Macaca mulatta: one gene and its partner. The protein of the gene in region 2 interacts with the protein of the main gene of each other region in a biochemical or structural test. Links are inferred from orthologs where the notes say so. Each region holds a gene or a part of one and is shown on either strand. Other genes may lie near its edges.

What was found.
Region 1: the proteins of DTL (region 2) and KMT5A form a complex in vitro, tested with the Homo sapiens proteins (2 studies listed by BioGRID, with this or other methods). The link is inferred for Macaca mulatta from reciprocal best matches to the Homo sapiens genes DTL and KMT5A.

Annotation. Positions count from the first base shown.
Region 1 is NC_133416.1:130,799,118-130,813,934, reverse strand, and holds the start of KMT5A (N-lysine methyltransferase KMT5A), read right to left. Parts: upstream 8,896-14,817; 5' UTR 8,750-8,895; coding exon 8,579-8,749; exon of another isoform or gene 8,575-8,578; intron 8,329-8,574; coding exon of another isoform or gene 8,207-8,328; intron 7,533-8,206; exon of another isoform or gene 7,410-7,532; intron 7,124-7,409; coding exon 6,967-7,123; intron 1,431-6,966; coding exon 1,211-1,430; intron 1-1,210. UniProt on the Homo sapiens protein: Protein-lysine N-methyltransferase that monomethylates both histones and non-histone proteins. Specifically monomethylates 'Lys-20' of histone H4 (H4K20me1).
Region 2 is NC_133406.1:69,763,984-69,779,013, reverse strand, and holds the start of DTL (denticleless protein homolog), read right to left. Parts: upstream 7,567-15,030; 5' UTR 7,450-7,566; coding exon 7,398-7,449; intron 175-7,397; coding exon 49-174; intron 1-48. Other genes in the region: INTS7 (integrator complex subunit 7), read left to right, coding at 7,903-7,996. UniProt on the Homo sapiens protein: Substrate-specific adapter of a DCX (DDB1-CUL4-X-box) E3 ubiquitin-protein ligase complex required for cell cycle control, DNA damage response and translesion DNA synthesis.

The DNA of each region.
Region 1 (14,817 bases), on a different chromosome or scaffold from region 2:
ACGCCTGTAAGCCCAATGCTCTGGGAGGCTGAGGCGGGAGGATCACTTGAGCCCAGGAGTTCGAGACCAACCCAGGCAACACAGCAAAACCCCGTCTCTGAAAAAAGGAAAGAAATTAGCCAGGCATAGTGGTGCACACCTATGGTCCCAATTGCTCGGGAGGCTGAAGTAGGAGGATCACTTAGTCCCAAGAGATTGAGGCTGCAGTGAGTTACTGCACTCCAGCCTAGGTGATAGAATGAGACCACATCTCAAAAAACACAAGTCAGGTATGGTGGCTCACACCTGTAATCCCAGCACTTTGGGAGGCTGAGGCAGGCAAATCACGAGGTCAGGAGTTTGAGACCAGCCTGACCAACATGGTGAAACCCCGTCTCCAATAAAAATACAAAAATAAGCAGGGCGTGGTGGCACGCACCTGTAATCCCAGCTACTCAGGAGGCTGAGGCAGGAGAATTGCTTGAACACAGGAGGTGGAGTTTGCAGTGAGCCGAGATTGCACTACTGCACTCCAACCTGGGCGACAGAGACTCTGTCTCAAAAAAAAAACAACAACAACAACAAAAAAAAAACACCAACCACCAAAAAAACAAACAAAAAAATAAATTTAAAAAAGAAGGGCTGGCCGGGCGCGGTGGCTCAAGCCTGTAATCCCAGCACTCTGGGAGGCCGAGGCGGGCGGATCACGAGGTCAGGAGATCGAGACCATCCTGGCTAACACGGTGAAACCCCGTCTCTACTAAAAAAAATACAAAAAACTAGCCGGGCGAGGTGGCGGGCGCCTGTAGTCCCAGCTATTCGGGAGGCTGAGGCAGGAGAATGGCGTAAACCCGGGAGGCGGAGCTTGCAGTGAGCTGAGATCCGGCCACTGCACTCCAGCCCGGGCGACAGAGCGAGACTCCGTCTCAAAAAAAAATAAAAAATAAAAAATAAAAAATAAAAAAATAAAAAAAAATAAAAAAGAAGGGCTGCTTATGCTGGGGTGGGTGAGGAGGGGAGGAAGGAGAGGCTCTTGAACTCTGAACCCATGCCAGATCCAGAAACTGACAAACAGTGGCATCCCTGCTGATGACTCGGGGCATCTGAGTCTTTGACGTAAGAGAGGCTGAGAGGTGGCCACTGTACCCCCACGGGCACCTGAGCAGGCTTCCCTGGGGTCAGAGGAACCAAACTGCTCCACGTTAGGAAGAGGACTGAAGGGGACACTTACTTTTTTCGGGGGGCCTGTTTGCCCTTGATGGGCTTTTTCAGGGCTTGCTTGGTGATGGCTGCATTGGTGGAATCACAAGATGAGGGTGGAGTTTTTGGAGGTTCTGCTGCTTCAGATTTTTGGTTTGGAAAAGGTGCCAGGGGACCTCTCCTGGCGTCTTTGATCTTCTGTTCCTCGGACTTCATGGCGCTCCGTACTGCATTCCCAGCATTTCTTTTCTCTGCAGGCGGAGGTGGAGGAAAGACAGGGGTTTACTCTGTACTCTGTCTCTCAATTTCTAGACCACCAGCTGCATTCTAAGACAGGCTTTGAGAAGAGAGGATCCTGGGTTTGTCAGGCAGGAGTGCCCTTGGCCTGCTAAGCCCCGTGTCCGCTATGGGCTATGATGGGAGGAGTGCCTAGCTCCAGCTCGATTTTTTGACCAAGACACTGGACGGAGGTTTTAGACTTCTGTGTCTTGACGTGGGAGATAGAGAGCCTGTGAGGCAGAGGCACCAGAGACAGACATGCTGGCAAGGGCGCTTGATCAATAACTTTCAGGAATCAGGCTGCAGACTCAGATCAAAAGCTCCATTCCTGAAGGCTGGGACAGCATTAAGGGACAGGAGTAAGGTGACAAAGCAGAAACTTCCCCAAGAGCTGCCCGGCACCCTTCATTTCAGACTCTAAAGAAAAAGAAGGCCCCCTTCTAGTGGGGTTGAAGCCCCAGGTTCACAGCAGTTCTCAGCATGGTGCCCCAGCAGACTGGCCTGGGTATCAGGAGACACACGGCAATGATCTGTCACTTAAAACACTTGTGGAGTGCCAGTGTTGGAAAACTGCTTACATTTTTAAAACATGTTTTCCTTTTAAAAAACTAAGTAAATAGGCTCGACACGGTGGCTCATGCCTGTAATCCCAGCACTTTGGGAGGCCAAGGTGGGTGGATCACCTGAGGTGGGGAGTTCGAGACCAGCCTGGCCAACATGGTAAAACCCCATCTCCACTAAAAATATAAAAATTAGCCAGGCATACTGGCAGGGACTTGTAATCCCAGCTACTCAGGAGGCTGAGGCAGGAGAACTGCTTGAACCTGGGAGGCGGATGTTGCAGTGAGCCAAGCGTATTGCACTCCAGCCTGGGCGACAGAGTGAGAGTCTGTCTCAAAAAAAAAAAAAAAAAAGAAAAAAAATTAAGTAAATAGTGCACTGCTCACAGATGTAAAATGGTGCAGCCGCTTTAGAAACAGTTTGGCATCTTCCCAAAAAGTTAAACATAGAGTTACCATATGACCCAGCAATTTCACTCCTAGGCATCTATTCCAGAGAATTAAAAACATATGTCCCCAAAAAAATCTATGCAGGAATATAACAGCTTATTTGGAATAGCCAAAAAGTGAAAACAACCCAAATGTCCATCAACAGATGAATAAACAAAATGTGGCCTATCCATACAAAGGAATATTATCCAGCCATAAAAAGGAATGAAGGGCTGGGCAGGGTGGCTCCCCGGAGGTCAGGAGTTCGAGACCAGCCTGGCCAACATGGTAAGACCCCCATCTCTACTAAAAATATAAAAATATGAGCCAGGCGTGGTGGTGCGCACCTATAATCCCAGCTACTTGGGAGGCTGAGGCAGGAGAATCACTTGAATCTGGGAGGCGGAGGTTGCAGTGAGCCAAGATCACACCACTACCCTCTAGCCTGGGCGACAGAGAGAGGCTCCTTCTCAAAAATAAAAAAAAGGATTGAAGCACTGATACTTATTACACCATGGATAGACCTTGAAAATATGATGCTCAGTGAAAGAAGCCAGACACAAAAGCCACGTATTTTGTGATTCCATCCATATGAAATGTCCAGAACAGGCAAATCCATAGAGACAGAAAGTACTTTAATGGTTGCCTTGGACTAGAAGGATAGGGGAATCGAAGGTGACGCCTAATGGGTACCTTTCTGGGGTGATGGAAACGTTCTGGAAGTAGACCATGGTAATGGTTCCACAACTCTGTGAATATACTAAAAACCACTGACTCATATGCTTTAAAACGAACATTATGATATATTAACTATATCTAGATTAACAAAACAGAAAAATAAATAAATACACTAGGCCGGGTGCAGTGACTCCGGCCTGTAATCCCAGCACTTTGGGAGGCCAACATGGGTAGGCCACCTGAGGTCAGGAGTTCAAGACCAGCCTGGCCGACATGGTGAAACCCCATCTCTACTAAAAATAGAAAAAATTAGCCGAGCCGGGCGTGGTGGCTCAAGCCTGTAATCCCAGCACTTTGGGAGGCCGAGACGGGCGGATCACGAGGTCAGGAGATCAAGACCATCCTGGCTAACCCGGTGAAACCCTGTCTCTACTAAAAAATACAAAAAACTAGCCGGGTGAGGCGGTGGGTGCCTGTAGTCCCAGCTACTTGGGAGGCTGAGGCAGGAGAATGGCGTGAACCCGGGAGGCAGAGCTTGCAGTGAGCTGAGATCCGGCCACTGCACTCCAGCCTGGGCGACAGAGCGAGACTCCGTCTCAAACAAAGAAAAAAAAAAAGAAAAGGCCGGGCGCGGTGGCTCAAGCCTGTAATCCCAGCACTTTGGGAGGCCGAGGCGGGTGGATCACGAGGTCAGGAGATCGAGACTATCCTGGCTAACATGGTGAAACCCCGTCTCTACTAAAAATACAAAAAACTAGCCGGGTGTGGTGGCGGGCGCCTGTAGTCTCAGCTACTTGGGAGGCTGAGGCGGGAGAATGGCGTGAACCCAGGAGGCGGAGCTTGCAGTGAGCCGAGATCACGCCACTGCACTCCAGCCTGGGAGACACAGCGAGACTCCGTCTCAAAAAAAAAAAAAAAAGAAAAGAAAAGAAAAAATTAGCCGAGCGTGGTGGCGGATGCCTGTAATCTCAGCTACTTGGGAGGCTGAGGCAGGATAATTGCTGGAACCCGGGACATGGAGGTTTGCAGTGAGCCAAGATCGCACCACTGCACTCCAGACTGCAACAGAGCGAGACTCTGTCTCAAACAAACAAACAAACAAAAAAACCCATTAAAACCATCCAGATCGGCCGGGCGCGGTGGCTCAAGCCTGTAATCCCAGCACTTTGGGAGGCCGAGACGGGCGGATCACGAGGTCCGGAGATCGAGACCATCCTGGGTAACACAGTGAAACCCCGTCTCTACTAAAAATACAAAAACTTAGCCGGGCGAGGTGGCAGGCGCCTGTAGTCCCAGCTACTCGGGAGGCTGAGGCAGGAGAATGGCGTGAACCCGGGAGGCGGAGCTTGCAGTGAGCTGAGATCCGGCCACTGCACTCCAGCCTGGGTGACAGAGCGAGACTCCGTCTCAAAAAAAAAAAAAAAAAACCATCCAGATCTTTCTTCCTCCTCTACATGCCTTCCTGGGTAAAATCAGAGAGAATTAAAGCCAGGACATCAGGCCCAGGAGTGTGTGGTGCCCGTGAACATCATATGTCACTCAGTCTGTATCACAGCAGAATCATGGACAAGAAGAGCCTGGACCTTGGGGTCTCCAGAGTCCAGCTTACCTAAATTCTTTATATTTTTAAATTAGAGATGGGGTTTCTCTCTGTTGCCCAGGCTGGAGTGCAGTGGCATGATCATAGCTCACTGCAGCTTTAAACTCCTGGGCTCTAGGAATTCTTGTGCCTTAGCCTCCCAAGCAGCTGGGACTACAGATGCATGCCACCATGCCAGGCAAATTTTTTTTATTTTCATTTTTGTAGAGACGAGGCCTCACTATGTTGCCCAGGCTGGTCTCAAACTCCTGGGCTCAAGTGATCCTCCTGCCTTGGCCTACCAAAGTGCTGGAATTACAAGCCTGAGCCACCATGCCCAGACTCTGACCCAAGATTCTAATCATGGCCATTTAGTAAAACTATGAGCCAAATACACTAGCTTGTATACCAGGCCACCATTTGGTACAAGGTATAGACTGCCATATATATATATATATATATATTTTTTTTTTTTTTTTTTTTTTTTGAGACAGAGTCTTGCTCCATTGCCCAGGCTGGAGTGCAGTGGCACGATCTCGGCTCACTGCAAGCTCTGCCTCCCGGGTTCACGCCATTCTCCTGTCTCAGCCTCCCGAGTAGCTGGGACTACAGGCGCCTGCCACCACGCCCGGCTAATTTTTTGTATTTTTAGTAGAGACGGGGTTTCACCGTGTTAGCCAAGATGGTCTCGATCTCCTGACCTCGTGATCTGCCCGCCTCGGCCTCCCAAAGTGCTGGGATTACAAGCGTGAGCCACCGCGCCCAGCCAAGACTGCCCTATTTTAAAGGACTAGAGTCTGGGCAAGTACCATTTATAGATAGTGCCTCTCCCCAATCCTATGGGCAAGAATTCTAAGTGCTGCAGGTCCAGGGATGAGCTGGCAGTCCGGGGGTGAAGAGCTGGCACACGGAGCCCATCACAAAGCCCTTTGGCATCCATGCTGCAACCACCCTTCAAAACAGTCCTGTGTGAGGTCAGACTCCTCTCTCCCCATTTACAGATGAGAGAACGGAGGCTCAGAAGAGAGCAGCAACCTATCTAAGCCTCCTTCTTTCGGGTGGCAAACTTAAGATTGGAACCCAAGTCATTTGAAGATCAAATAAAACAATATTGCCCTGTGTACCAGGGAAATCAAGCCCAGGGTGAGCTCCTGTCCCCAGTTCAGGGCTTGCCCAGCCCTGGTTCTCAGATCCGGCCCCAGAGGTCACGCCAAATCATCATTTATGACACTTTCTGTTAGCGAACACAAGGCTTCCTTGTATGCAGCTGCTGGCAGCCAGAGGCTTTGCTTCTTTCAGACAGGTTTTAATTAGAAGAGAGCATGGTGAATTGGGGAAAGCTGACACTCCCCACTGCAGCTTTGAAAGGGAATATTTGGATTAGAGCAAGATGTCTAAGAGGTTTCAGTTTGTTTTGCAAGGCCAGACAGTCTTCATTAACCCTGTATTTTCTTGTTCAACATTTTAACTCCAAATCTCATTGCATAAAATACTGCTTCAGAGACTAACACGGAACGCTTGAGTGGCAAGAAACTTTAGAAATGGGGTCAAGACAGCTAGGCGCGGTGGCTCACGCCTGTAATCCCAGCATTTTGGGAGGCCAAGGCGGGTGGATCAACTGAGGTCAGGAATTCAAGACCAGTCTGGCCAACATGGTGAAATCCCGTCTCTACCAAAAATACAAAAATTAGGTGGGCATGGTGGTGGCCGCTTGTAATCCCAGCTACTCAGGAGGCTGAGGCAGGAGAATCGCTTGAGTCCAGGAGGTGGAGGTTGCAGTGAGCTGAGATCGTGCCACTGCACTCCAGCCTGGGGGACAAGAGCAGAAATCCATCTCAAAAAAAGAAAAAGAAATGGGGTCAAGGCTAACTCATAAAAGGGAAGGAAGTCAGTTCCCTGCATGAACACATCAGTTAGGTCTGCAATCGCCTGGTCTATACAACCTGAATTCATGACTTCTGCACTTTCAGCGCTTGTGAGCCTCTCTAATTGTGGGTCAGGTATGTTATTTTTGCAACTAGGCAAGACAGTCAAGCTTGAAGGACATGCTAACTCTTGTGAAAGCAGGGAGAACCTGTCAGACCAACAGGGCACACACCCTGGGACAAGCCACTCTTTTAGCAGCAAGACAGAACATGGCTCAAACCTCCCAAACCTGAGACTGAAACGGCTGGATAAATATATATGTGCATTCTTGCAGAAGAGAGAGGCTTCCGCAACCCGACCAGCTGGGATCAGAACGAGGCCATTTCAAAAGCTTACCTTCTCGTTTCCTGTAGATTCCAGCTAATGGTTTCCCCTGGCATTTGACTTCGTGATGTGTAACTGAGTTCTCTTCCTGAAGGGGGAAACGCATTCCAGAGCATTTGTTCGGGCTCATGTAGGAATAGATCTTTGACTGCCCGGTAAACACATTCTCCTAAAAAGACAAAAGCATATTCTGAAAGAGGCTTGAAGAAGAAGATCCTAGAGCATTCACGAGGAGGAGGAATACAAAAGATGAAAATCAGACAACACCGTTTTTCAAAAACTGGGCTATCAGGGGATGCCAGCCCCCGTTGTCTCAGGAGAGCACTGGCAGGTTTAGAATCCCAGGTCCAGTGAAACGTTTCCTGAACGCGCTGGTCTCTAATTCGCTAAGGGGACAGCTGGCCAGCAGGAGAGCCGGCTGCAACCAAGGTCTATATAGGAAGAAGACAGCCTACCCGCAACAGGGAGGTCAAAAGGACCCGGGCATGTGAAGAGCTAGGCTATCTTTAGGAGTTCATTCCCCTGGCAGGAGCCGCAGGGACTCAGCACAGAAACAGGCCCCGGGGAACCTGATTAACCACTTGGTGCTGAGGGCGGCTGGAGGGCCTGTCAGTACAGCCAGAGCCCCATGCGTGCCCGAGCCTGACCCCTCTCAAATCACTGCAGCCCCGCAGCCTCCCAGGGCTGCGACGGAAGGACTTCTCTCAGCGTGACGGGGGAAGCTGGGAAGAGCAGGAGCCACAACCAGCGCATTCAGGGCGGCCACTCTGTCGCAAGCCGCACCTGGGCGTGAGAGAGAGGACGGGGCGGTGGGGCGGTTCAGGTCACTGCGGGCGTCTCTGGGCGTGGGGCCGGCCCCTCCTCTGAGTAAGCAGAGGGAGGAGGGCGTCCCCAGAAGCAAAGCGGGGCCCTGGCCGCCTCGGGGACCATTCAACACCAAGGCGGCGAGACCCGTGACCTCTCCGAGGGGCCCGGGCAGGCCGCGCACAGCCTGGAACGGCGGCCACCTCCGGGGAAGTAGGCTCTCGGGCTGCGGAGACGCCATGAAGGCGCAGTCAAACTTTTCCGAGGTCAAACACCGCCAGGCTCATGGCGGAGCCGTGTGGGCGCCACTCCCAGCCAGGCGGCAGCAAAGGAAGCGGCCCGGCCGGGCGCTCCGGGGCGGCGCGGGCAGGGACCCGGGATCGCCCATGTGCTCGCGGCCCCGGCCCGGCCGGCGCGCCGCAGGGGTGCGGGGAGGGTGCCTGCTTACCCCGTCGGTGCGGGGCCTCCCCGGGCCCCTCCGCTCCACCATCTCCGGGCCCGGGGCCGTCGCTGCCACCGCCGCCGCCGCCGCCGCCGCCTCCACCGCGCGGGGCTTGGACATCTTCCTGCCTGGAGAGGGGGACCCGGGGGAAGCGGGGGAGGGGGCGCTCAGGGCGCGGCGGGGCGGGGAGCGGGGCCGCCCGGGCCGGGCGCCGCGACGGCGCCTCCCGCCGCAGCCATATTTCGAGGCCCCGGCGCTGGTGAGCCGCCGGCGCCGCCGGGAGGGCCGGGCCGGAGCCCGCGTCGCCCTCCCGCCGCCCGGCCCGGCCGGGCCCCGCGCGCCGCCCGCCCCCCGCGCGGCCGGGCCCGACACACCCACCTGCAGCCCGGCCAGGCCCATGGCGGCGCGCCCCGCGCCCTCGCCGCCGCCGTCGCGGCCCGGCCACCACCGCTGCCGCTGCCGCTGCTGCTGCTGCTGCCGCCGCCACCAGCGCCGCCGCGGCGCCCCGGGGAAGGGCCGGCGGCGCCCCACGGCGCCCCCTTCCCCCATGGCCGGTGAGGCAGGGCCCGGCACCCGCGCACCGCGGCAGCCCCGAGCGGCCCGGGGCGAGGCACGCAGGGAAGGAGGCGCAGGCGGCGCGTCCTCCGCAGCCCGCCCGCCTGCTCGCAGCCGCCCACCGTCCGGCGCCCGGCCCTGGGAGGGGGCTGGCAGGGGCGGCGCCGCCAGGCCGCTCCGGAGGGCGGGCGGGCGGGCGGGCTCGGCGAATCCCGGCTCGGGCGCGCCCCCTCGCGCGCAGCCTCAGCCACTCGCGGAGGAAGGGGTGGGAAACACTGTCATCACAGCCCAGGCTCCCGCCCGCCCGCCCGCCAGCCCGCCCGGCTCCTTTTTCCGCTGGCTCCGCGGATATTTTGGGAGCCCCGTCTGTGCCAGGCGAAATCAGCAGCGGTGAACGCGCCAGGCCAGGCCCTCGGGTGTGCCCGGCGCTGTGCCCACCGAGAGTTTCACAGGCATTGAATCCTCCCCGCACGCCCACGGGGGCAGGTCCTGTCGGCATCCCAGCTTACAATGGTGACACCGTGACTCAAGGGAAGTGCTGGGGTTTGTCCCAGGCCACAAAACTAGGAAGTGATGGGGCCAGGTGTCAAACCCAGAAGGGCTGTACTTGACCGGTAGGAAGCCCTGGGGAGACATAGCCAGGGGTTATAATGATCGGTTTCCTGGGCGAGTCTTTTGCCGCTATCTCATTGAAACCTCACAGCAGCCCTGCAAAGGTAGACACCATTATTATCTCATTTCAACAGATGGAGAAAGTGAGGAGCTTGGCCAAGTTCTCAGAACTAGATGGGTTTCCAGCCCCGGCCAGCTGACCCCAAGGCCTGCCCTCCCAGCCACTACCCTTCCTGGTTACAGAGGAGGAAATGGAGGTTGGGAGGAGCAAATGGTCTTACAGAAGGGTTTAACAAGTCACCTTGTTCTCCTATCCCGCCGTGAGAAAATGCCCCATAGGCAGATGAGGTTCCTGTCACTCTGGTGGCTGTTTCAGCATAGCTCACTGCCCTGCACCATTATGCTGTGGCCATTAAGGATTGAGGGCCCATAGCCAGATTCACTGCATTTGTGCAAAGTCATAGATGCAAACAAGACACTTCAAGGCATCCAGCTTCTGCAGCCTGGGCCATGGCCTGGGAGTCAGGGGCTGGACTTATTTCCCTGCATCTGCCCAGAGGTGTTTTGTGACCATTGCCAAGTCACTTCCCCAGTCTGGGCCTCAGTGTCCTCATGGGTAAAAACCAAGAACCTTGAATTCCATAATCCACCGGAGCACCTTCCAACATCCACAGATATACAAATGGCTGTTTGTAGCCATCCCCCCACCTGGCCTCCCTCGCCTCCCATTAGAACAGATAAGACTGAGTAGGATTAGGTGGTGACAGGTCACTGCTCAGACAATTTGGAATTCCTCCCAAATCAGCTCATGCTTTAGCATCCTTCAAGGCAGGGTCCCCCAGCCCAACCACTAACTCCAGTGGGCTAGGTACTCTGCCCATGCCCTCTGCAGAGCCTACTACAGTTGAATATCCAAAAGATTACCCAGAGGGTGAAAGAGAATTCGAAAGTGACACTCTCATAACCAGGTTGAGCCATTTGAAAGTGTTTTCCACTTCTGCAAGGCAGAGAAGTTTTGCAGCTTAATTACCATGAGAATAATGGTTTTGGAGCAGGAAGCACCCACATAGATCATCTTGTCCATTTCATATACTAGTATACCGAGCCGCACCCCACACCCCACTCATGGTCGTAGCTTTCTCTGCATTTGAGCCCCCAATTGCAGGGGACAAATTACAAGCCTAGCACCTATTCCTCTCAATTCTGCAGCTCCAGTACCTAGAAGATGTAAACACAAATCATTCAATGTAAGTTTCAAAACAGTCCTTTCTCTGCAAGTTTATACATATATAACAAATATACTGGCTGGGCGTGGTGGCTCACACCTGTAATCCCAGCACTTTGGGAGGCCAAGGTGGGCAAATCACCTGAGGTCGGGAGTTTGAGACCAGCCTGGCCAACATGGCGAAACCCCATTTCTACTAAAAATACAAAAATTAGCTTGGCATGGTTTTGCATGCCTGTAATCCCAGCTACTTGGGAGGCTCAGGCAGGAGAATCACTTGAACCCGGGAGGCAGAGGTTGCAGTGAGCCAAGATCATGCCACTGCACTCTATCCTGGGTGACAGAGTGAGATTCTGTCTCCCAAAAAAAAAAAAAGTCTATTTTTGGAGACCCCCCCCAACCAGGTGCTAAGGGATAATGAACTGGAGATGGCAAAATGAGGAGGTCTACCAACTAAGAGACCATTCAACAATGGCAGTAGAAATAGCAAAAGGTAGGTGGACTGACCCCTGAGACTAATATATTGGAATTGTAAATATTTGCATGATTATAAAACTTCAAAATGAGTGAGGCATTGCCTGGCATCTGAACAGTTTGTTTTTGTGGCCCAGCAGGGCTCTCAAAGTGAATTGCAAGTTCAAAGCCCAATTTTCTAGAAGAAAAAGACTGTTCATTTGAAGTGCTATAAATGATTTGGTATTTACAATCTAAATATTGGCCAGGCATGGTGGCTTATGCCTGTAATCCCAGCACTTTGGGAGGCCAAGGCTGGCGTATAACCTGAGGTCGGGAATTCAAGACCAGCCTGGCCAACATGGCGAAACCCCGTCTCTACTAAAAATACAAAAATTAGCTGGGTGTGGTGACAGGTGCCTGTAATCCCAGCTACTTGGGATGCTGAGGCACAAGAATCACTTGAACACAGGAGAGGGAGGGTGCAGTGAGCTGAAATCACTCTACTGCACTCCAGCCTGGGCAACATAGAGTGAGCCTCTGTCTCAAGAAAAAAAATAATAATCTAGATCTAAATATCCAATTTAATAGCTTGCAAGGGCAATAAAGCCTAAGAAACAGGCAACTAATTTTGGGGTCAAGTGAGACAGTGAGAATCAATAACTAATAATTACATAGGTGATTTGTAAGCTGACCACGGGAGGAGCTGACAAACATTATCTTCGCTTTGGGTAAGTAAGGGAGGTTGTGTGGCACAAGCAAAGACCCAGCCAAGCTAGAGTCTGGACAGCAAGTTTGGACTTCAGGCTTCCTCCTCTAAAAAATGAGAATAACAATTTGTAAAGATGAATTGAGTTAATAAAGTACCTGGCCCTCAGTGATAATTATTATTATTATTATTTGTTGTTGTTGTTGTTTGTTTTTTTGAGATGGAGTCTCGCTCTGTTGCCCAGGCTGGAGTACAGTGACGCGATCTCGGCTCACTGCAAGCTCTGCCTCCCCGGTTCAAGCAATTCTCCCTGCCTCAGCCTCCCAAGTAGCTGGGATTACAGATATGCACTGCCATGCCCGGCTAATTTTGTATTTTTAGTAGAGACGGGGTTTCTCCATGTTGGTCAGGCTGGTCTCGAACTCCCGACCTCAGGTGATCCGACTGCCTCCGCCTCCCAAAGTGTTTGGATTACAGGTGTGAGCCACCGTGCCCGGCCATAATTATTATTTAGCCATATTTTAAGTATTTCAATGATAGATGGTTAGTTTTCTTCATAGATTCATTAATGCATTACTTTTAAAACAAGTAGTTAAATGATTGTACTGTAATAAGAAAAATGAAGCCAGGAAGCATAGTTTTATTAAAATTTGTCAGATAAATTAGTCAGATAATGTTAAATATACTTTTAGATGCTTAACACTTTTCTAAGGAAAAATATTAGTCTTAATTTTCTCCATGAGTTGGGTGATGAAGCTCTAAAACCTGAAGTTTACTATGCCTCATTTTTTCATCAGGCTCTGGGGAAGTCTTAATCCAAAAGACCCTCTAGGGATGCTGGGAGAATAAATGATGCAACTGATTTCAGGGCCTGAAAACAAAGGGACCCAATATATATTTGTTGAATGAATCATTATTTTATTCATTGTTATTGCTATAGGGAGCATACTGCACTAAAGCAAATTCCTACTAACACTTGATGCCTTGGAATTTTTAGAAAAATATAATACCCCAACTGATTTTTTTAAAAAACTAATTCTACTCAACTTTCACGCTCAAGTTTTTGGCCCTTTAGCGTGAAGGAGACGCAGTGGCTGGAAATGACCAAGCGGTTGGAGAGCTCTTTGCCGCATACCTGGGAGGCACTGGCCTGACAGCCAACTAAGTATGCAAAGGATTTCAGGCAGGACATCGCCTCCCAGGGCTGTACAAGCCCACCCAAGCCATCTACCGAGGGGCGAAGTCCTGACCAGATGCGGGGCGAACGACCGCGCCAGCGAGGTGCCATGAACCCGTTTCACCCCAAAGTGGGCCAGCAGGGCCCGGCCCTCGCTCCGGCGGCGCAGAGCTGACTCAGGACGTGGGGAAGGAGGAAAGGCGCCTGCCGCGGTGTCCACCCTGACGCACACCCCAACATGCAGGTTATCGATCTGCGCCTTCGCCTCGGGATCACCTCCTTTCCCAAAAAGAGAGAGCCCCAAAGTGGGCGAAGCCTCACTCCCACCCCCGCCCCACTTCTATCAATAACACCTATTCCCTGGAGGTGCCCTGCGCTTTAGTTTCCAAAGAGCTGTGACATATGGATCTGCTGCCCTGGAGAGGCAGGCCCGCAGGTGCTCACTTCATAGAGGGGAAACAGAAGCACGGCAGTGGGAGGGGTTTCTGGGGGCATCTGGAGCCTCAGGGGGGCCGGCGGGTTCCGAAGCAGCACCCCTACACCCCCCACGCGGGTCCCCAAGCTCGCCCCGAACCACCCGAGGAGGACGCCTCCCCGCAGACGCTGCCGCCACCCCGGCCACCCCTCCAGCACGACCCCCGACCCAGCCGCCCCGGCGCTGGCCACTTGGGCAAATACCTCTAGCCATGACCCCACTCTGTCACCGCCTGGGATCTCCCGGGAAACCCAGCTTTCGAAAAAAGTTGCAACAACTGCAGCCAACTGCTCCGCAGGGCTCCAGCTGTTCGCCCCGATTGGCGCCGCCGCCCGCCTCTCCGCAGGTTGCCTGTCGTGATAGGCGAACTCGGAGGGAGGCCACGCCCTTCTCCCGCCTCTTAGGCGGCGGGGCGGGTCCAGCCGTCGCACTAACTACAAACGCTTTCCCGACAGGTCCCGGGGGAGGAGGTGGGGGGGGGTTTAAATTTGACCGTCGCCCGACGTTGATTGGCTGCGATGGAAGACACCCGATCTGCCATTGGGACGCCCTAGACTCCTCCCCCTCCCGCTGCTGAAGCTCCGCCTCTGGAGCGTGAGTCGCCCGTCAGGAGCCCCGGGCTCAGAGCCGACCGGATCCAGGACTTCCGGTTCTGCGCGGGCTTGACCGGAACCCGATCTTTGACCCCTGATACCTCCTAATGAGCTGGGAAGCCTGAGTCTCCCAGCAGTTTAGCAACTCCAGCACACCGACCCCTCTGGCAGTTTGATCCTTTCATTCTCAGGTTTGAAAGGTTTAGGCCGGGCGAGGTGGTTCACGCCTGTAATCTCAGCACTTTTGGAGGCCGAGGTGGGAGGATCACCTGAGGTCCGTAGTTGGAGACCAGACTGACCAACATGGAGAAACCCAGTCTCTACTAAAAATACAAAATTAGCCTGGCGTGGTGGCGCATGCATGTAATCCCAGCTACTCAGGAGGCTGAGGCAAGAGAATAACTTGAACCCAGGAGGCAGAGGTTATGGTGAGCGGAGAGGTGAGCCGAGATCACAACATTGCACTCTAGCCTGGGCAACAAGAGCGAAACACTGTCTCAAAAAAAAAAAAAAAAAGGTTTATTGAATATTCCAGTATTCAAAACCCACAGGCACAACTCCTACCAAGTAACTGGGTCAGTAGAGGTCCTTCCAGGACCGCAAAGATCCTAATGCTTCACACCCACCCATTTTACCGATGGGGCAATAGAGGAAGTGGGTCACCTATGCACTGCCCAAGGTCACCCATCAATGTAATTGCAGGGCCTGGATCAGTCTCTCCACTGTTCAAACACTAAATGGCTACCTTAACCCCAGGGAAGCAAGTATTCGCTGTTCCCCTCTGGGAGAGGGGGCTCAGTCAGTATGTTCCCAGAGGA
Region 2 (15,030 bases):
AAATAGATCATTTCTGTCCAAGCCTTGCCTAGAGAGTAATTCTCTTACCAGAAGAGAAGGTACATCCAAAAGGAGGAACCGGGACTCCTGTTTCTCCATAAGAAGTGTGTTCATCATTACCACTGCATTGATAACCAGTCAGAAGGGATTGTAGAGGGTATTGTGAAGACCATCCTAAAACAAGACAATTCCTTATAGAATTCCAATAGAGCATCACATTTCAGCATTTTTAACAAATCCAGAGGTAAATATTTGTTCTTAAGAAACTTTAGATATTAACATAGATCCACTTACTATTAATATCTATGGAAGACACTGTTTCTGGTATTTCCTTAAAAGAGTCCTAAGGAAAAAATGAAAAAGCACTTCCAACTTCTGGGGAGGTATAGCTTTGGGCTTACTATCTAAAATGAAGACTCTCACTAGCACATTGAGATTAGAAGAAATAAGAGGCCTTTGCATATTAAGAAAGATCTTCCTCCTTCTCCTACCAAAGAGACAACCACAAAAGCATTCCATTAAAACTGTTATCCCTTTCTATTAAATTCTTATGCTGGAACATCATACAAAATCCAGTGGTCAAAGAGCCAAAGAAAATAATATATATCAATGCAACTACTATAGCCAGTAACATATTCACCAAATTTACTTTCTTTTTCCTTTACTGCTGAAATTGTAGGAATCTAAAATGTTAATAGCAACGCTTATAGTATCTTAAATGATATTAGAGAAATTGTAAAGTGAAGCATTATGTACCTACCCCTAGTAAACATTTAGTTAGCCCTGGCTAGTGGCAGTGGGTCAGGCAGTCTTTACAGGAGGTCTTGAAAGATGGGTAAATTTTCACTGAATTTAGAATAGAGAACAGGAAACTCAGGGTGGAAGAAAAGTTTATTCTGCTTGGGTCAGAGATCTAACGTGCACTATGGTCCTACATAGTAAGATATCTTCAGAGATTTGTTTTTATCATACTGATTTGTGGTCAAGACATTTTAAACATATAAAAGAAACATTCATTCAACAAGTAATTACTGAAAACCAAATGTTCAATAAGCATTGGAGGAATCACTGAGTTTACAATCTATTGAAAGCATAACAAACTCACATTTTAGGGTACTCTGAATTCTCACTTTTCATCAAAAGTACTATGTGGAGAATACATCCTAGCTTGACATAACCTCAGACAAATCTACATTTGGATGTTCATAGACATAACCTGAAGGAATCAATAGAAGGGCACCAAAAAATTTAATCCAAATTTAATAATTAGTTCTGGGGCCATCATGTCATAATTTCAACATCAGATATCATTGTAAAGGAGCTGTTAAAGACCACTAAAAGAATGCAATAGGCTGGGTGCGTTGGCTCATGCCTGTAATCCCAGCACTTTGGGAGGCCGAGGCGGGAGGATCACGAGGTCAGGAGATCAAGACCATCCTGGCTAATCCGTGAAACCCCGTCTCTACTAAAAATAAAAACAAAAACAAAAACAAAACAAAAAAAATTAGCCAGGCATGGTGGCAGGCGCCTGTAGTCCCAGTTACTCAGGAGGCTGAGGCAGGAGAATGGCGTGAACCCAGGAGGCAGAGCTTGCAGTGAGTCGAGACTGCGCCACTGCACTCCAGCCTGGGCGACAGAGCAACACTCCGTCTCCAAAAAAAAAAAAAAAAAAAAGAATGCAATAGTTACGTTGAGTTCACAAGTATTAACCTACAGAATAAGTGTGTAGAAACAACAAAAGCCTCTGTTCAAAGGTTATGTAAATATACATGTTTTGGAATTAAAAAAAAATCAACTGCAAAATGCAAACTCAAAAGGGACTTTTGAACAACTTGGTTGAAATGAAGATGATACACTCCAAAAAACCTGCAATTTTTTACAATTAAACAATGACTTTAACTCTGCGTCTCTGCCTACAATTAACATCCAAACACCAATGAATGGTGAGTGATTGGTCCTTGCCTACTCCTCTACTTATGCAATCCCTGCAATACACACTTCACTGATGAACCACCCTAAGCTACTTTTGGATCCTTATTGTGTTATGAACATGAAACTGTAATGCTTACCTCCACAACACATTTGGAAAAAGCTATTATTTCCTCATTGTACAACTTAAGCCCCTAGAGTTACATGCACATATTCCAAGTAGTATACAAGAACATGAGAGTTTTCAGAGACTAAATTTCCAGATACAGTAGTCATCCCCATCTGTGGTTTTGCTTTTTGTGGTTTCAGTTGCCTATGGTCAACGATAGTCTGAAACTATTGCATTGAAAATTCCGGAAATAAAGAATTCATAAGTTTTAAATTGTGTGCCATTTTGAGTAGCAAGAAAATTTCACACTGTCCTACTCTGACCTGTCCAGGGTTATGAATCATCTGTGTCCAGAGTATCCGTGCCATATATGTTACCTGCTCTTTAGTCACTTCGCTGCTTTGTCTGTTACATAGTTGGAAGGTCAGTAGTAGCCTAATGTTATATCACAGTGCCTGCCTACATCATTCATCTCACTTCATCTCATCATGTTGTAGATATTATATCATCTCACATCATCACGAGAAGAGCAAGTATAGTACAATGATATATTCCGAGAGGCCACCTTCACATAACTTTTATTATAGAATATCGTTATAAATGTTCTGTTATTATTAGTTATTGTTAATCTCTTACTGTACCTAATTAAACTTAATCATAGGTATGTGTCTGTATAGTAAAAAACACAGCATACATAGGGTTGGGTCTTGGAACATATCCTTCAAGGATAAGGAGGTACTATTGTACTCAACTACGATATACAGTCATATGTCATGTAATGGCATTTTGGCCAAAGACAAACCGCATACACAATGGTAGTCTTATAAGATTATAATGAAGCCTAAAAATTCCTATTGTGTCTTAGTTTTTAACAAAAGGTTCGAAAAGTTAAGAAGAAAAAAGAAAAAAATTTAAAATAAAAAAACTTATAGAATAAGAATATGAAGAAATAAAATATTTTGCACAATTATACAATGTGTCTGTGCTTTATGCTGTTACCACAAGGGTCAAGAAGTTAAAAAATTTAAGATGTTTGTAAGTTTAAAAGTTACAGTAAGCTGGCCGGGCGCGGTGGCTCACGCCTGTAATCCCAGCACTTTGGGAGGCCGAGGCGGGCGGATCACAAGGTCAGGAGATCAAGACCACGGTGAAACCCCGTCTCTACTAAAAATTACAAAAAATTAGCCGGGCGCGGTTGTGGGCGCCTGTAGTCCCAGCTACTCGGGAGGCTGAGGCAGGAGAATGGCGTGAACCCGGGAGGCGGAGCTTGCAGTGAGCCGAGATCACGCCACTGCACTCCAGCCTGGGCTGGGCAACAGAGCAAGACTCCGTCTCAAAAAAAAAAAAAAGTTACAGTAAGCTAAGCCTAAGGTTAATTTATTATTCAAGAAAGTATTTTTTAATCAATTTAATGCAGCCTAAGTATAGAGTGTTTATAATGTTTACAGTAGCATAATGTCCCAGGTCTTCACACTGACTGACCACTCACTCATCGATTCACTCACAATAACCCCGAGTCCTGCAAGCTCCCATTCATAGTAAGCACCCTCCACAGGTGTACCATTTTTTATCTTTTATATCCTATTTTTACTGAACCTTTTCTATGTTTAGATACACAAACACTTACCATTGTGTTACAGTTGCCTACAGTATTCAACACAGTAATATGCTGTACAGGTTTATAGCCTAGGAAAAATACACAGCTTAGGTGTGTAGTAGGTTACACTATCTAGCTTTAAGTATACTCTGTGATGTTTGCACAATGATAAAATCACCTAATGATCCATTTCTCAAAATGTTATCTCCATTTATAAGCAATTGGATACTATATATGCATTTCTAAAACTCACCTGTCTGAAAAACCTGATGTCTCTGAGAAGGTTGAGGTATCACTTTTTTCCTTTCCCTTCATTACTTCCTTTCTTCCACTTTATAAAAGAAAGGCATTCCTGTGCCCCAATCTTAAACCTTGCATTGATCCAAAGAATAAAAACTTTTGGGTATCAAATATTTTTAAATAAAAACAAATAAACTTTTGGAACCTTAACAGATAAATAATTCCTTCAATAAAGGAATCATAAACACCCAAATTCATCTCTTTAAAAGATGTACTTCCAACAAAATTTTACTTTTGGTTAATAATTACCAAAATTGGTAATCTATATTGTTTTAAACAATCATATAGTACTAATAATTGAATTGAAAATTCAATCCATAAAGAAGTTTTAACACTCAGAGGCTTATGACAGAAAACAGCAATTTAAATTATCTTTTGACACAGAGGGGTATGACAAGAGTGATCAGTAAAAGAGCTTTTCAAGCATAAAATTAAATTACTGTGGGAGAAATGAAATGGAAATAAATTCAAGAGGAAAAAGCAGCTATATGGAATTTCTAGCAGTTAAAGAGTTTGTTCGTATGTTTCTAAAAAATGGATGACGTGATTATCAAATCACTACAGTATTTACATTATATTAGATACACTTAAAAGAGTGATATAGCATTTTTATTTATTCCCAATATGGTCAGAAATTATATTCTTTGCATTTGTTTAAATTTGTGATAAAAACTTTTAGATATCAATTTGAAAATACACAGAAGAGTCGTCAGATTTCCATTTTAGAAGGATCATGAGCAGCAATGTGGAGAATAAAGTGAAGACAGACAAACTAGGAGGCCATTTGGGAGACTTCTTACAATCCAGACAAGAAGGCATTAGGGCCCAACCTAGGGAAATGGAATGGTAAAAATAGAACACATCCAGGATACAGTAAAGATGCATAATCACAGAGATTTTAACGAAATGTTTTGAATGTGTAACTATGAGGAAGATGAGGAAGTCTTTAATTGACTCAGGTTTCTGGCTGGGAAAACTGGTTTAAATAATGAGGCCACTCCCTAAAATTGGTAATATAGCAGGTTTGGGGGAGAAGTTGAGTTCAGTTTTGGGTATTTGAGTTTGAGATGCTTGTGGGATTGACAGTCTGCGTGATAATCAACCCACACAGCTTTTACAGAAATGAATCTCAGGTACATGAAGTCTTCCAATAACATCATTTTGTACAATGTCATTTCCTCATACTGTTCATGAGAAAAAAAATCAATTCCTGTTTGAGGCCACTGGCTGGGTGGAGTTTGTACATGTTCTCCCCATGTTCACAGAGGTTTTCTCCAGGTACTCTCGTTTCCTCCCACATGCCAAAGATGGGTATGTTAGATTCACTGGCATGTCTACATGGTCCCAATAGACAATGGGTGTGTGTGAGTGCTTCCTGTGATGAAATAGCATCCGGTCTAGAGCTGGTTTCCACCTTGTACCATGAGCTGCCAGGATAGGCTCCGGGCACCCACAGTCCTGAGCTGGAATAAGTGTGTCAGAAAATGAATGAATACAAATAATTATATAATAAAAATGGTAAACTTTACAATAATCATACAAATGAATGACAAACGATTTGGTATGAAAGGGCTCAGTGAGCTGCCATATTTGTGATTGTTTTTGAACTGGGTGGTTGTAGGAGGTGCTCCAATTTTCAGTTTGCAAACATTTATTCCTTGATTTAGCCCACCACTACTATGACCGAGGTCACTCACTGATACGCCAAACTTGGGTAAATAATTATCTCACTTGTTTTTATTAATCTTTCTCAAATGTATGTATAGCACACAATTATTTCAACATTTAATATTAAAAGTGTTTTGGGTCTTTATTTAGAAGTTCAGTGGTGTTTGTATGACCAAAATATGCCACTGGAACTTAATTCTTGTTTATATCAAGTAGCCTATGGTAGAGTTGGTTTAGTTATACATTGTTTTCCCTAAAGTCACAGTTTCCAAGAGCCTATCTAGACATTAAGTGAGAACTTACCATATAAGAAATAGAAAGTTGTATGTACATAGAAGTGGAAGAAGCCCTGGTTATGGCTGTGATCATCCAAAGAAGTAGGAAGAAGAAGAAAAGGGGCCAAGGAGGGAACACCAACACTGAAGAGGAAAGGAGATGATTCTATAGATTTCAGTGGGTAACATATAATAGTGAATGAATTTCAGTGTCTATTGTGTAACAACGAATGAGTACTCGTGAACAGGAAAGAGGGAAGGGAAAGGTAAACACATGGAGAATTAGGAGAAAATCTGTCACAAAACAGTCTGAACAGCTCCCCCAGGACACACATATAGTAAGGTGTGGAGGTATAATAAAACCCAGGTAGCACTGTGCATAGTCACTCTTAAACAGAGGACAGAGAAGTAAGTCAAACAAAGTCCCAGAAGAGAAAGAGGAGCATTTAGAGTATAATTACAAAGATTATCTATGAGGGAAAGAAATAAGAATGGTATAAAGTTTCAGATTGCTAGCAGGAAGTTGAGGGACTACTTCTCAGTCTCTTTCTCAATATCATTTTCCTAGACTCATCCCTGAACATAAAAATTCCCTTCTCAGGTTCCTTTTCCACATGGTTTCAAGAGGAAAAAGAACCTCTGGCTATAGTCGATGTTCACATGAGTGAGATTTTATTTCTGTCCAAGGTTAGTCTGCCTACTTACCTTCCTTATCAGAAACTTACCAAAAAGTTTAAGTTGATGACACCCAAACCTAGCCTCAAATCTCTTATTGCCAATGTTTTAGCGTAAGAAAGTTAGATTTCTACATATTAACATGGGAATACGTTCAACTTATACCATTAAAGTGAAAAAACAGGACATTTTGATCCCATTTCTGAAAATAATAGATATTACCTCTAGCGTCGAAAACATCTGGAATAATATACTTCAATCTATTAACAGGGGTCATCTCTGGCGGATGTGGTTACAAGCATCTTTCACTCTAAATGTTTATGACCATGTAGTAAACGGGGAAAAAAAGATTTTGATCCTGTTAGAAGCAGATATCCTGTCTTCTCTGCTTGACTGAGTTCCTTAACAGTGGGTCATATTCACTGGTATATACCCATAGCAAATAGCTGGGCTCACTAAGATTCTACAACAAACGAATGAATAAATCAATGAGTATGAGTTTTGACCATCTCAAATAACTGTTGAGAGAAACATATACACACAAATGCATGCATTTTCCCGTTAACGCGCAATGGAGATGTAAGCTGTAAGAGGCCTTGGAAGGCAGTTATTTCGACGTCCATGCCTACGTTACGATTTTAAAAGCCCGATTACGATTACAAGTGTTCCGAGGAGATGAAAGCACAGCTTTCTTCAGTAGTCCCAGCTAACACTAATTTACCCTTGCCATGGGAGAACTCAGAAGCTGAGTTCAGAATTGGAGTCGGCCCTGGTCGGAGGTGGCGTGTGTTTCGGGGTAGATGAATCCCGCCAGCCCCGAGCAGCGGTTGGGACCGTTACTCACCATTTCTCAGGACGCCAAGCTGGGGCTGGCGAAGCACCGAATTGAAGAGCATCAGGGCCGGAGGAAAAGGCTCAGCTGAGAGAAAAGTCGTAGAAATGCCTCCAAGTTCAGCAAAAATCGCAGCTTGCGCCTCTCACAACACAAATCGTTATCGCCTCCAACTCCCGCCACTGTAAGCCCCGGCCGCCAAACTCCGCGCCAAACTGACGTCACGCTCTCTGATTGGCTTCCGAGCGACGTCCGGGCGCCTCAGAGTCATTTCCCCCTTCGGATCCCCGCCTCCTTTTCTCCCAGCCGCGGGAACCTGGAGTCCAAGAGCTCCTTGAGCGCCTGCGCAGAGGGCAGCAGAGGCGACTGCGAACCGCGGGGTGACCAGGGCGCATGCGTAACAGGGCTTGACAGCGCGCGGAGGAAAATCCAACAAGAAGGCGGCGGGAGAAGATGGCGGTTCTGGGGTAGAGTTTGCAATCTTTCTGACTAGGCTAGTCGAGTAACTATTCGGGTCATGGCGTCAAACTCAACTAAGTCTTTCCTGGCAGATGCCGGCTATGGCGAACAGGAACTGGATGCCAACTCTGCCCTTATGGAGTTGGACAAAGGTATTCGAAAGAGCGGGCTGAATGGGTGAAACGGGCGTGGGGGGAAGTGGCGCCACCACGTGGTGGTAGCTTCAGAGGACGGGTAGGCGCATGCGCCTATCTTCGCTGGGCGGGGAGTGCCTGTGCTTTTGCTGGGGCGTGGGCTTTGACCCCTTCGGGAGGTTGCGGGAAATTTGCAGGATTGTTTGGCCTTACACCGGCTAAACAAGTGGCGAGCTCTAGTGAGAGGCCCGTTTTGACCACTTGAGGGAACAGCCCCCTATTTTCTAAGCAGTGGACAGTGGCTGGTTTCTAAGAAACACTACAAAGAAATTCTGAAATTGGTTTTCAGTCTGTTCATTTGAGACCAGGTCACCATGAAATGTGCTGAATAGTTGTCTTGCACCGACTTGACAGCGATTCATTTGATTTCCGTAGCTCTGTTACCTGCGGGTTACAAGGCAGGCTAACCATGGCCGAGACCATGCAAAAAGCCCTGCTCATTCTCTGCGGACAAGTTCCAGGAGTTCTGTTTCCTTGCTTACAGGGAGCAGTTTGGTGTAGAAGGAGCTTTGGGGTTGCACTGAGTTAAATTTCAGTGCCGCTAATTTTATGATTAATTTCATCTAGCCTCGGTTTGTCGTCTACCAAGTGGGTACAGTACCATTGAGCTGGCAGAATTGTTGTATTAAGTGACTTAATGGTATGCGAAAGAAGCATTTAGTAAATGCTGAAGAGATATAGATATGGATTTGGGACGCAAGGTCGGAAATTTGTCAGTAAAGAACTCGACTGGTGATATGAAACCTGTTTCATATTAAGGATTTTTATTGTACGGGAAACATTTCGGCAGCTGGTATACAATTAAATCTTGATTAATCGTAGCCAATATATAATGTTGGAGAACAGGACTAGAACTCAGAAGGATCTCTGTTTAAGTCCCCTTTGAGCCACTTCCCAGTTTTCTGAGTTGGATATGTCTATTAACGTTTTTGGGACTCTTTTTCCGTTTATTTTTTAAACTGTGAATATTTTTAGTGGGTTAGTCTAAATAAGAGTTTCTCAGGCTCTTATAAAAGCTTTTACCTCCTGATAAACACAAAAATTTCACAACCCGCAATGGGATATTCCTTTGGTTGAGTCTCAATATCTTTAGTGCACTCCCATCAACCAAGAAAATGATGTTGAACTTTTCTTTCTCTTACCAAATCTATAGGGTTTTTCTCCTCTGAAAAATAAAATTGTAATATTAAATATGTTTTTCTTTTCTTTTCTTTTTTTTTGGAGACGGAGTCTTGCTCTGTTGCCCAGGCTAGAGTGCAGTGGCGCGATCTCGGCTCACTGCAACCTCTGCTTCCCGGGTTCAAGCGATTCTCCTGCCTCAGCCTCCCGAGTAGCTGGGATTACAGGTGCCCACCACCACGCCCGCCTAATTTTTGTATTTTTAGTAGAGACGGAGTTTCACCATGTTGGCCGGGCTGGTCTCCAACTCCTGACCTCAGGTGATCCATCCGCCTCGGCCTTCCAAAGTGCTGGGATTACAGGCATGAGCCACTGCGCCCGGCCTTAAATGTGTTTTTCAAACACTTTCCTCCTCATTCTGATACATCTCTTTCTTATCCCTACCAGTTCTAAGGACATTTTCTATCATGCTGGTCCAGCTGAGCTTGTACCATGCTGACAGTAGGATAGTGGTTGTGGAACAGTGATCAAGATGGGGCACTGAAGAGGAGTCTAGAATTGTTTAATTCCTCAAATTTTACAGTTGTAAGAAAAAAGCCACAATTTTCCTTTTTAAAGAAAAGTTGAAATGAAAATATTTTATATCTGCAAGAAAGAAATCAGGTGTCAATCTTAGACACAGAGTAAGTGATCATTTTCACTCCTCCCAGCAATGCCCGGCGTATTTTACAGATGAATCTCAGGCTTAGAAAGATGACTTGTTCTTTTTCATCTCACCTATAGTATCTTTTAAAGCTGTTAGGAAATTAAGTTATAGAAATAGCCAGTTTCATGTAGCATATAGTTGAGTATTTTAAATATTGAGTCATTTCATCTTGTACCTGTTAAAGTACTTCTGTTTTGTGAGCTAAAGGTCAGAAGGCTACAAGTTACAACTCTTTTTTCGTTCCCAAACTCCAAGGAATGCTGTTTCTGAAATATCTCCCCCACCTCAGCACAGACACTCAGACACATGACTTATTTGATCAGGCTTTGTACTAGGAACATGGCAGTTAATGAAACAAAACAAAACTCCTGCCCTTATAGAGCTTACATTCTAGACAGCAGATGCAGACACTCAGCAAATACAGCGAACACGTGACAGTTAATGATACATATTCTAAAGGAAAGTGAAGCAATGAAGGGGACTGGAGAAAACTGATCAGGGGCTGGAGTTGATTTCTTATTTTATGAAGGATAGGCAAGAAAGACCTCCTCAATCAAGTGGAGGAACAGCAAGTGCAAAGGCCCTGAGGTAGAAGCCTCCTATGCATGCAGTTATCTGGAGCAAAGTAATAGACAATGAGTATAGAAAGATAACCAGAGTTGGTTGGGCGCGGGTGGCTCACACCTGTAATCCTAGCACTTTGGGAGGCCGAGTTGGGTGGATCATGAAGTCAGGAGATCGAGATCATCCTGGCTAACATGGTGAAACCCCGTCTCTACTAAACAAAATACAAAAAATTAGCCGGGCATGGTGGCGGGCGCCTGTAGTTCCAGCTACTGGGGAGGCTGAGGCAGGAGAATGTCGTGAACCTGGGAGGCGGAGCTTCCAGTAAGCCGAGATCACACCACTGCACTCCAGCCTGGGCAACAGAACAAGACTCTGTCTCAAAAAAAAAAAAAAAAAAAGAAAGAAAGATAACCAGAGTCCAGTTCAGGTAGGGCCATGCAAGCCATCAAAAGGACTGGCTTTCATTCTGAGTGAGATAGGAAACCATGGAGGATTTTCAGCAGGTGTGTGACATGATCTGACTTTCCTTTGGAAAGTATCAGTCTGGCTAGTGTGTGGAGAATAGACTGAAGTGGAGAGGGTCAGGGACCCAAGTAGGGAGACCAATGAGAAGGCAACTATAACAATCCAGGGAAAAGAATATAGTGGCTTGGACCAAGGTGGTGACACTGAAAATGTGTGAAGTGCAGAGATTCTGGATATACTTTCAAGGTAGAGCCAACAAGATTTGCTAATGGATTAGATGAGGATATAAGAGTAAGTGGTCAAGAAAATTTAGAGGTTTTTGGTCTGAGCTACTGGGAGGATGTATGTATGTTTAGTGAAATCAAATCAGTTTGTGATATGTTAAATTTGAGATGTCTCTTAGACATTCAAATGGAGATGAGTAGACAGACATAAGATATAACCTTTGAATGCTATTTTAAATAAATATTTTGTGGCACTGGTGTTGCTAGAAACACACTCGGGAAATGCTGCCATTCATAACCTGTTATATATTTATAACCTATTGTACTTTATTCTGAGCCTTTTGAGCAAGCATTGGCAGTAAGCTGATTGTTTCTGATCTCTATAGGAATAAGTGGATACTATTTTGAAGCTGACTCAATTCCATTACTTTAGGATGTAGTTAGTAACAGGAAAATCATCGTCCATATGATAGCCATTCATTTACTCAACAGATATTTACTGACCACCTGCATTGTCTCAGGCTCTGTACTCAGACTAGGGGCTATATTGGCAAACAAGACATCTTTAAGGAGCTAGCTTGCATACAAATATAAGGAGACAGACAATGCTAGATCAAATGTGGCGCTGTTAGGACAAGAAGTTGGATTTTGTGCAGAGTGCAATGGGAAGGCATTGAAAGTTGTAGGCTGATGGCCATGCTGACTGAGCTTCTGTAAGACTGAGCATACACAAGCAGAGTTAAGTGTTATAATCAAATACATTACAGCTTATGTTTATCTGACACATTTCATGATATAATCATTACTATACGTAATTGGCAATATAAAGAATGCGTCTCACAAAAATTAGTGTAACTTTTTCACTAATATAATTTCTTAGTCTAAACATTTTTAGATCAGCTGATGGGAGGTTATCCTGATGATTTGGGAAAACTTATGCAAGATCTCTTTCCACCTGGGAAAAGAGGAGTCTCTTAAATGACATTATTCAGCCTATCTGCCTTCCGCAGTGTTGACCTTGGAAAGGATGAGGTGAAAGCAATGGGGAAGAGAGCAGTGACTCATTCCTTTTCTTGCAGCTGATGCAATGGGAAGGGAGGAAATATAGAGGGTAGATTTGTTACTAGAGGTGCTGGTGAACGTAATGCTGTGTGAAAAAGCTTGATGGTGTGCTTAATGAAAAATTTAGTTATGAAATAGAGAAATGATGTGAATCAGGAAGCTATCTCTACACTAATTCCCCCTTAGACGCTGTCACCTCACCTATATTCCAAAATACCTGAATTCTCAGACCATCAAGATTGTTAAAAAAGACCACAGATTGCTTTGACATTATCTATATGGCTCAGATGTCGTTGGTGTTTCAGTAAACAAATATGAGGCCTTTGAGGAAGTGTCTTCATAGGCCCTCCTGAAGAGAAAGGCCTCAGCAGCCAGATTTGTTTCAGGTGACTAATTCCCTACCATAACTGATTGATTCAGAAGGAGGCATGTGACCCACACGGAGTCAAATTCTTTCTCCTAAGAATCTCTGCTGCCAGACCACACAGTCTGAGAGTGTTGAGAAGCGGACCTATAAAATCATGTAGAATTAGGCCGGGCGCAGTGGCTCACACCTGTCGTTGCAGCACTTTGGGAGGCCGAGGCGGGCGGATCACCTGAGGTCAGGAGTTTGAGACCAATCTGCCCAAGATGGTGAAACTCTGTCTCTACTAAAAATACAAAAATTAGCTGGGGGTGGTGGCAGGCACCTGTAATCCCAGCTACTTGGGAGGCTGAGACAGGAGAGTCACTTGAACCCAGGAGGCAGAGGTTGCAGTGAGCTGAGATTGTGCCATTGCACTCCATCCTGGGCGACAAGAATGAAACTCGGTCTCAAAAAACAAAACAAACAAACAAAAAACATACAGAATTGAAGCTAAGGTGAGACTCTGGGCAACTTAATGCCACATAAAAACCAGCAGCCTGATTGGTAATTCCTTCATGGGCTATGAACTAATCCAAAAATTCAAGTTTTTACTGAAACCCACAGACTCATTCTTGTATATTACTAAAATTTACTGTCTTGGAATTTGCAAAATAAGTTATTAAATATTCCTAGAAGTTGGTATACATAAACTCAAATTTGTTTAGGATTCTAAATTAGTATTCTCATATGCATACTGGATGACGTTGCATATATCTTACCATGTACATTTACAGACATTTTCTGAAATTTGGGGGATGGATGCTGCCTTATTAATGCATCGTTAGTTTTCACTATCATTTTACTTGTTTCTATTTCTGCTTTTTAAATATAAAAATTGGCTTTGCCATCAATTTTTTAAGCTGTGGGTTGTATGCTTGTGTTCATATTTCTACCCATGTCCCCCCGACACCTTTTATTAATGTATACATTTCAAGATTTGTTTGTATTATGGTTCAATTTCGAATCATCATCATTTCTTAGCTAAAGCAAATGTATGTCACAAATTCTCCTAAATTGTGTTTGTTTGGTAAGGTTTTATTTGTGGTGTTCTTTGTAGTGGATGTTAGTTATGTTGATGGTTGCTTAATATCTTTTGAACACTCTTTTTGTGCTTAAGGAATGTCCCATAGCATGAACCTTGTCTAACCAAGGTAGAAGCAAAAACTCATTTCCTAGTTTCCTTTGCAAGAATGCAGGATCTGACTTAGGCTCTGTCAGTCAGACACACCTCCTTCTCACTGTCTGATTTAGAAGTTAAGAGATGCAAGAAGGAAGAGTTGAACTGTCCACTCACAGTTCTGCCCTGGCAGCAGCGGTATTTCTAGTGTACAGTAGCAACAACAATGGCTACAATATTCCTAGATGACAGCAGAGCTCATTGTTGCATCTGGTGTTTCCTACCAAAGACAGGGTTCCTCCATCCAGTTGTTTGGGTAGTGTGATATTAGGTGTTCCTAGAAATTTAACCTTAAAAATGGTTCTTAAGCTTTTAATAAACTCATTTTCTGCCTAATAAGCCAGAGTTAGCTTCTGTTGCTTGCAACTAAGAACTGCTGATAGATGCAACTTGGAGATTTGTGCTGTTTTGAAAACTTGATTAATGTATATCCCAAACCCCAAGTTTACCATAATTTATGGCATTCCCCTAATTCCCTAGAATTCATCACCTCAGAATTCCACTATTTAATCACTCATTTAAATGTCTCATTCTTGAATCTTAATCTCTTTCTTTCTAGTTGCTTGCTATAGATACATTTTAGCATAATGGTTAGCACTATAGCCTCTGGAGCCACATTGCCAGAATTTGAATCCCAACTCTGTCATTTGTTAGCATTGTTGTTTCTTATGCAAATTGCTTAACTAGTCTGTGCCTGTTTCCTCACCTTTCAAATGGGGGAAATAATGGTGCCTAATTTATGTGATTTTTAGTGAGACTTTAATACATGTAAAGTGCTTCAGAGTGACTGGCACAGAATAAGCACTTCATGTGTATTATCATTATCATTATCATTAACTGCTATTTTGGCTGGTCTTTATTTTCATTCAGACCTCAGTATTTCACCTCTCTACTTTTCTGTACCTGTTTTACTTCTTTGTTCAGCTTAGATTTCATGGTCCCTCATTTTATTAACTTCATTTACTTTCTTACCAGTACTTTAAATTCACATCCAAGGTTCCATTCTTTACTATCCTTAAAGGCAGTCAAAAATTGCTGCAGAAAGTCATACAGTAGGGTACATGGCTATCATCATAAATGGCAGCCAAATACACACTGACCTTCAACACGGACCTGCAGTACTGTAATGTTTCTGCAGTACTACTGTGTTTCTTTGGTCAGACACTCCTACCTTCTTCAGTAACATTTCAGATCTTTTACTTTTCTAAAACCAGAGATCCTGGGGTGTTATGTGAAGTATGATTTGTAAAACCTGACAGTGTGTTC